Linked DNA regions of Callithrix jacchus. The protein of the gene in region 1 interacts with the protein of each later gene in a pairwise test. Links are inferred from orthologs where the notes say so. Each region holds a gene or a part of one and is shown in the gene's direction. Other genes may lie near its edges.

Region 1 (4,136 bases):
TTCTCCCGCCTCACCCTCCCAAGTAGCTGTGACAACAAGTGTGCGTCACATGCCTGGCTGATTTGTGTATTTTTGGTAGAGGTGGGGTTTCACCATGTTGCCCAGGCTGGTCTTGAACTCCTGAACATAAGTGATCTGCCTGCCTCGGCCTCCCAGTGTACTGAGATTACAAATGTGAACCATTTCGCCCAGCCCATTTTTATTTTATTATTATTTTTTGAGACACAGTCTTACTCCATTATCCAGGCTGCAGTGCAGTGGTATGATTTTGGCTCACTGCAGCCTCGAACTCCCTGGACTCAAGCCATCCTCCCACCTCAGCCTCCTACATAGCTGGTACTACAGGTGCACACCACCACACCTGACTAATTTCTGTGTGTGTATTTATTTTATTTTAATTTAATTTTTTGAGATGGAGTCTCACACCGTTGCCCAGGCTGGAGTGCAGTGGCATGATCTTGGTTCAGTGCAACCTCTGCCTCCCGGGCTCAAGGGGTTCTCCTGCCTCAGTCTCCTGAGTAGTTGGGATTATAGGTACGCACCACCATGCCCGGCTAATGTTTGTATTTTTAGTAGAGACGGGGTTTCACCATGTTGACCAGGGTGGTCCTGAACTCCTGACCTCGTGATCCGCCCGATCTGCCGATTACAGGCGTGGGCCACCGCGCTTGGCCTTTATTTTTTTAGTAGAGATGGGGTTTTGCCATGTTGCCCAGGCCGATCTCAAAAACTTGGCCTCAATCCACCTGCCTGGCTTCCAAAAGTGCTGGAATTGCAGGCATGAGCCACCCTACCCAGCCTAGCATTTTAAAAATGATAAACCCACTTCATAGGTTGACAATCCTGTGCAGTGGGTGCTGCTGTTACCTGCCCTGCTTTACAGATGAGGAAACCAGGTGCTTTGAGATAGAAGAGATGGCAGTGCCAGGACTCAGGGGCAGCCTGGCCCCAGGGTCTGTGGATGTGGCCACTGCCTTAACCGCTGGCAAGGATGCTGCTGACCCATCAGCCTCAGGGTTATGGGCCAAGCATGCTCCCACCGTACAATATGCTGTGAGCAGGACACACACAAGGCTTGGGGTACCCCCGAGGTTCATCAAGGGTTGGGGAGGCAGAAGCCCTTCTATTGTGCTTCGGGAGTAGGGGGGGGGAAGGAACAAGAGCCAGCCAGGGACAGCGTGGCCCTACCATCTCCCTGGAGAGACCTCAGCTCTCTGGAATTCATCTATATTTAGCAGGTGGCTGGACAAGAGGCAGATAAGCAGTGCCTGGGGAGGGGGGAGGTCTCCATATATAGTGGGAAGGACAGGACCCCACTCACTCCCTCTTAGGGTGGCCTGTGCCTGCTTGGTGCCTGGTGTGACGTCTCTCAGGATGCCTGAGCCGGGGAAGAAGCCAGGTAGCTCCGGGCCTGCGGTTGGGTCTAAGTGTGGGAGCAGGGGGTGTCTACAATTGGGGAGCAGGGCTAGGAGGGAGTTCTTGAGGGAGCTGAAGAAGACATGGCCACTGAGCCCCAGGATGGGTCAGCCAGTCCTCCTAGGTCCTTTTTTGATTCTCAGTTTCTTTCTCCCATCCCTCTGATGAGAGGTGAAGGTAAACCCAGGGTCAGGGACGCAGAGAGGGGACACAGCCAAGATAGGAAGCAGCCGGGTCAACTCAGAACTCAAAGGGACACCATCCCTGCCCCATTTCCTTCTCCTTCCACAGCAGGGATCCCCGCAGACAGAGCTCACAATTATGCGGAGCACAGCCAGGCTCACGCGGTGCCCTCAGACGAGTCTCCACCCACTCTGGGACTTAGTCTCCCAACCTGGGGACTGGGGCGGGTGTGGTGGTGGGTTGGTTCCTCCTGGTTGTGACATTATCTGCTTCATGAGCCTGTATGGTGTGGTCCCCATGTTGGGGGTGATACAGTCCCTCTTCTCTGAAAGAGGACAGTCAGGAGCCCCTGAACTCAGGCCAAGGGCAGGGAAAATCACAGCCCAGGGTCCTGGGCCTGGGCCGTGCCCTTACCAAGGTTGTCCAGGGCAGAGATCCAGGTCCCCATTCCCCAGTGCCCTCCCAGGCCAGCTTTATCTCAGTTGCTGATTCTCAGCCTGAGGTCCCTGGAGGACAAATTTGGCCACATTCCAAAAAGGCAGAGTTCCCTGCCCCCGCCAAGGGCCCCAGATGGTGGGGGAGGGGAGCTGGGCTCCTCACAGCTATCTCCAAGCTGGGAGAGTGGCATATCCAGGGGACACACACAGCACAAAAGTCTTGTGTGGAGGTCAGGACCACCGCCCTGGCTCTCCTGACTATAGGCTGTGTGATCTTGGAGGAGCCACTTAGCTTCTCTGAGCCTCAGTGTCCTCCTCTGAGAAATGACAGAGTAACTGCACCTACCTCGTAATAATACTATAGGAGTATTACACGAGGGGATGCATGGTAACTGCTTATCACAGTATTTACTAAAAGGGGCTGCAGGGGTGGGGTGCACGCCCCAGCTAGGGGCTGCTGTAGCCTCCATCTGGCCCTTCAGTCTCAGCTTTCAGCAAGAAGCCACGGTCAGTGGAAGTGGCAGCAGGTGGCCCTGCCGTGTTCGAGGCCGAGACAGAGCGGGCAGGAGTGAAGGTGCGCTGGCAGCACAGAGGCAGCGACATCAGTGCCAGTGACAAGTACATCCTGGCTGCAGAGGGCACACGACACACACTGACAGTGCGGGAGGTGGGACCTGCTGACCAAGGGGCCTACGCAGTCATTGCTGGCTCCTCCAAGGTCAAGTTCGAACTCAAGGTCATAGAAGCAGGTAAGATCCTGGTCAGCCTTCCCTGAGGTTCAGGCTTCTGGGGGGAGGGGCAGTGAGGTGCTTCTTCATCCATCCAGGGAACGGGAGGTGCTTTCACAATTTCTTGCCTTTGCTGTGGCTGTGCCCCCACACCCCCCACCAGGAACGCCCTTTCCCCTTTTCTGCACATGACCTCTCTAAGTACCCCCATATGCCACCCTGGCCTCCTAGCCATGCTGGAGGTGGGAGAGGTGAACAAGACTCAACCCCACCCTCCCCCTGCAGACCTCCCTGGGGAGATGACCAGGCACAGATGACACCTTGTGTGCCAGCAGGGAAGCCCTGCCGGAGGTGTGGGTGACAAGGCACACAGCCCAGTCTGAGGGGCTGCTCCAAGGCTGGGGCAGAGCTAGGGCAGGAATGGACCTGGAGCTGTTAGGGGCAGGTGCAGCGGATGTGGGGACTGATGGCTGGGGGCAGGGAGGAGAATGTGAGAGTCAGGCTGGCTCTCCAGCTCAGTATGCGCTGCCTCTGAGGGGCCCGGGCACTGGGGGTCAGACAGGACGGACTTTCCTCGTTCACAGCAGGCTCAGGGGTCCAATGCTCGGGAGAGAGAGTGTAGAGGGGTCTCTGGTTAGTGACTACACCACAACTCCCATCCAATCCCCTCCAGAGAAGGCAGAGGCCATGCTGGCCCCTGCCCCTTCCCCTGCTGAGGGCACTCAAGCCCCTGGAGAAGCCCCGGCCCCAGCTGCTGAGCTGGGAGGAAGTGCCCCAAGTCCTGAAGGTGAGAGGGGCAGGGAGGGGCAGAATCTGTGGGGAGGGGGTGTCTGGGGCAGGTCTCAAAAGCCTTTGCTTGACCAGGTAAGGTGGCTCAGGCTTATAATCCCAGTACTTTGGAGGCCAAGGTGGGTGGATCACTTGAGGTCAGGAGTTTGAGATCAGCCTGGCCAACATGGTGAAACCCCATCTCTACCAAAAAATTAGCTGGGCATGGTGGCACATGCCTGTAACCACAGCTCAGGAGGCTGAGGTAGGAGAATCGCTTGAACCTGGGAGGTGGAGGTTGAAGTGAGCTGAGACTGAGCCATTGCACTCCAGCTTGGGGGATAGAGTGAGATTCCGTCTCAAGAAAAAACAAAGCCTTTGCTCGCAGGGTCAAGCTCAGCAGCTCCCAGCGGCACCACCCCTGAAGCCCCCGATGACCCCATTGGACTTTTCGTGATGCGGCCACAGGATGGCGAGGTGACTGTGGGTGAGTGTGAGTTGCTGTGCCCAGCAGGGGATGGGAAGGGGGGCAGCAGGACACTCCCCAAGCCAGGCCTGTCACCCTGCCCTCGCAGGTGGCAGTATCACCTTCTCAGCCCGAGTG
Region 2 (4,202 bases), on another chromosome or scaffold:
CTCCTCATTTCAGGTCATTTTTCTTTTTCCTTCTCAGAAGTTCAAGATCTTGCAAAAAATGTTTTCCACAAAAGAGATGATATCTGTCATTTACATCAATGCTTCTCACACTTCAATGTACATACCAAGCAAATGAGGATCTTGCTGAAAAGTGGATTAGGATGGTGCCTGAGACTTTGCATTTCTAGTTCATTCCCAGGTTATGACAATACTGCTCGTTCACAGACTGCGCTTTGAGTAGCAAGGATTGGTGTATTCTTATAGTTTAAGTTGCTGCTATGTTCTCCATCAAAGTATTTGCCTTTTCAGTCCTGTCGCCACCTGGAATGAAGTTGTCTGCCCCAGTCATCTCCCCACCATTAGGCGGGCAAGCTACTTTCTGCTTTTGTTCCTTTATTCACTTTGGCAGCAGGGGATCCTTTTCTGGCTTGAAGACCAGAGTCTGAGTTTGAGCAAAACCCCCGCAGCATGGATGAGGACTACCCAATCAATAATTAGGCTGGAGTAAACCTGGTCCTTTCTCCAGCAAGACTTGGCCAAGCTCTCACAGCAACCCTTTTCTGTCTCTTCCCCGGCTAGACCTGATCCATGTGTGATTTGGAATTAGGTGGCCTTGGTTAATCTCAGTTTTCTGACCTAGATGAGCCCAGCCCCAGCTCTCTGAGTAAAGCTATCCAGGCTGCTGGGGACTAGACCAGAAGGGTGCCCTGTCCCGCTTGCCCCTTTTCCAGACACTCAGATGTGCTGTTGTGGTGTCCTTTGTGCTCATGGCAGCCCTGGAAGAGGAGAAGCCGGTGTCGCTCCCCTGCTGCCCTGGCCAGCTGTCGGGACCCCTCAGCAGAGGGCAGGGCGCCAAGCCCCCCCACTTGCATGTGGCCTATTGTCCCCAAGATTGGTGGGGCTGTGAGGACAGAATCCACAGCCCATTCAGGGAGAACACCCACCCCAGAAACAGGGAGGAGTGGGCTGGCGTCACTTAGTCTTCCCCTGCCCCCTACCCTTCACCTCCTGCCCCTCCCCAGCTCCCTATTTGGCCATCCCCCTGGCTGCCCCCTCCCCTTCCTTACATGGTCTGGGGGCCCCACTGGCTGATCCTCTCCCCTGCACTTGGCTCCAAGAATGGCCTCGGTAGTCCTAGCGAGTGCAAAGGCGACCAAATAAGGCAAGGTGGCAGACCGGGCCCCCCACCCCTGCCCCCGGCTGCTCCAACTGACCCTGTCCATCAGCGTGCTATAAAGCGGCCGTCTTGGAGCCCGCCACCCAGCGCCCGCCACCCAGCACCCGCCGCCCCGAGCCAAGCCTACCCGACCCGCCCAGCGGACGGTGAGTCAGAGCCCGGGCCCTGTGCGCTCCCTCCTGTCTCGGTCCGCAGGCCTTGCCAGACATCAGCCCCAACCCCGCGCCGCGGCATGGCCCGCCCTCGGCCGAGGCCCCGACTCCTGCCGCTCTGCAACTGCTTTTTTCCCCCTACACTTTTCGATTTGGTTCTAAATTGTTTCTCCTGGGCGTCGGTCCTCGCAGGACCCAGCAGGGGCTCTAAGAAGGGGAATTCTGTGGCTCCCTAAGGGGCGTTTGGGTCCCAACTCTCGTGCGCTCTCCCCTCCATCTGTGGCACAGGCAGGGCGGGATGGACAGGGCTGGAGGTCGAGTTCCCAGTTTGTGAAAAGGAAGAAAAAACAGCTGGGGAGGACTAAGGAACTGGGTTTCCTGGGTCCTCCTTGCACCTGGTGCCCTAGGTGAGACTCCTGGCCAGAGAGCCTGGATGGATTGCCCCCTCCCGTCTCCTCCGCGGCTTCTCTCCCTTTTATGACTTGAGGGGAAGAGAAGTGGCAGGAATCTCCCCTGCCCACGCCCCTATCCAGTCCCCGCATCCCCGCTCTGCTCTGTCCCCTTCTCTGGGTGCGGAGAAAGCCAGCTGCACAGGCAGCTGAGCTGGCCCACCCTCCCCTCCTCAACCTGCAGAACCTCCTGAAGCTGTGCCAAGATGTGTGACGACGAGGAGACCACCGCCCTGGTGTGCGACAACGGCTCTGGGCTGGTGAAGGCCGGCTTTGCGGGCGATGACGCTCCCCGCGCGGTCTTCCCATCCATCGTGGGCCGCCCGCGGCACCAGGTAAACTTCCTGCCAAGCCCCTAGTCCTACTCGATACCCCTTCCTGCCAACTCCTCTGTCCAGCCATCTAAGAAATGGCTCTCGCTTGACCCACTTGTGGTGTGAACTCTTTAGGTCAAATTAAGGAAAGGCTGATTCACTTCAAATCCAAGAGAAGGCAAGCAATACCCCATCAAACCCCAACATACTGAGAAATGTACATCTGAGTGGCAGGCCTCTCAAAGGGTCCCACTCGCTGGTGTGAACGCCACCAGCTTCTTTCCATTCATGGCCTTTTGGACTTTTAGTCCTTAGGGTCTTCTCTGCCTTATACACTTCACTGTCTTCCTTGTCTTCCCTTTTCAGCCCTGTTTAAATTTCTAACAATATAACCTCTCCCAACCAATCACATTCCTCTCTCCTGTTCACAGCCAGTTTACAGGGCTTCCCAAAGGTGAAATCTATCTCCTTCCTGGCTGTGGCATTTTTAGAAGCCAGGCGTGACAGAGGCAGCAAGTGCCATGGTGATAGTGACATGCCACCTCGTTTATTAAAAGAAATGCCATGCTCTCTGGATTTGTCACATGCCTGGTCAGGCAGGCTGCCAAGGAGGAGACCTTAGTCCTCAGAGCTGGTGAATGACTCCAGGACAGCTCTGGACAGGCTCAATTTCAGTTAAAGTGAAGATGGCATATCAGCCCATCATTATGTGTTCACTTGAATGTCAAAATCTTTTCTTAGGAGAAATACAATGTGTCATTAATTCAGTCATTCCAAAATGCAGTCATCTATATTCCCTTTGACATGGGTGATGAGCTTAATAATTTAATGAAGGCATATGATATTTTTAAGGTGAGGTAAGGCTCTGCTTCTTCAGTGAAAAAGCTTCATTCTCTCCTGAGTTATATTCTCAACAATAGAATTATACATCTTTGGGGGAGTGGTGGGAAGGTGGAAGATTGATTTTTAAATAATTCTTCTAAATTGGGATAAAATCCTATTGCTTATTATTTCTGGCATTTAAATATGTTCCTTGAATTGGTCACTTAGATATAAATGGACAAGACACTGATTATATTCCTGACATGGTGGGAGCATGATTTTCTCTTATTTTTTCTTCTCATAGGGAGTTATGGTTGGTATGGGTCAGAAGGACTCCTATGTAGGTGATGAAGCCCAGAGCAAGCGAGGCATCCTGACCCTGAAGTACCCCATCGAGCACGGTATCATCACCAACTGGGATGACATGGAGAAGATCTGGCACCACACCTTCTACAACGAGCTCCGTGTGGCTCCTGAGGAGCACCCTACCCTGCTCACAGAGGCCCCACTGAACCCCAAGGCCAACCGGGAGAAGATGACCCAGATCATGTTTGAGACCTTCAATGTCCCTGCCATGTACGTGGCCATCCAGGCAGTGCTATCCCTGTATGCTTCTGGCCGTACCACAGGTACGCTTGGGCTCTGGGGACAGTTACTGATGAATCATATTCCTAAGTCACCAACCTTGCTGTGAAATCAGATTCCCCAGATTGAAAAAAGGATAATCCCTTTCCTCCCATTTCCTAGCAAGGTCTCTGTACTAAAAGTGAGGTGGCAATAGTGCCCTGAGGTTAATTCCAGAGCACACGTATTGTTGGAGCTGATAAACTGTGGAGTTAGGTCCTTCCCTTATTTAAAGCTCAGCACAATGTAGCAACTTGGAGTGCAGCAGTCCTTGGGATGTGTTTAAACCATCATATCACCTGGGTAAGCATCCTCAAGGAGAGTACATTCCCTACAGGGCCTGAGTCAAAAGAGAGGGAAACGCATAAGTCCAGTAAAAACAGAGAAAAACACACTTGGGTGTTTACATAATGTGCTCAGGGCTGATAAGAAGGATGGTCATATGAAAGTGTCCTCAGGAAATTTTTTTCCTACTGTAATAGTTGAAAGGATGAGCTGCAGTTTGTTTCAGATTTAGTGTGCACGATGCTCATTTTTATTCTTTGTGTGTAAGGGATCTAATTTTATCTGGATCAATGCACATTGCTAGAATATCTCAACCAAGATTGGAAGCAGGCTTCACCATGGCTAAAGCAGTGGTGTCCTTAGGACTTTACCTTGTTCT

What was found.
Region 2: the proteins of MYBPC3 (region 1) and ACTC1 interact in a two-hybrid assay, tested with the Homo sapiens proteins (2 studies listed by IntAct). The link is inferred for Callithrix jacchus from reciprocal best matches to the Homo sapiens genes MYBPC3 and ACTC1.

The regions. Positions count from the first base shown.
Region 1 is NC_133511.1:112,407,847-112,411,982, reverse strand, and holds the start of MYBPC3 (myosin-binding protein C, cardiac-type), read left to right. Parts: upstream 1-1,319; 5' UTR 1,320-1,374; coding exon 1,375-1,399; intron 1,400-2,518; coding exon 2,519-2,785; intron 2,786-3,437; coding exon 3,438-3,551; intron 3,552-3,920; coding exon 3,921-4,019; intron 4,020-4,107; coding exon 4,108-4,136. UniProt on the Homo sapiens protein: Thick filament-associated protein located in the crossbridge region of vertebrate striated muscle a bands. In vitro it binds MHC, F-actin and native thin filaments, and modifies the activity of actin-activated myosin ATPase.
Region 2 is NC_133509.1:52,108,410-52,112,611, forward strand, and holds the start of ACTC1 (actin, alpha cardiac muscle 1), read left to right. Parts: upstream 1-1,262; 5' UTR 1,263-1,323; intron 1,324-1,962; 5' UTR 1,963-1,984; coding exon 1,985-2,113; intron 2,114-3,218; coding exon 3,219-3,543; intron 3,544-4,202. UniProt on the Homo sapiens protein: Actins are highly conserved proteins that are involved in various types of cell motility and are ubiquitously expressed in all eukaryotic cells.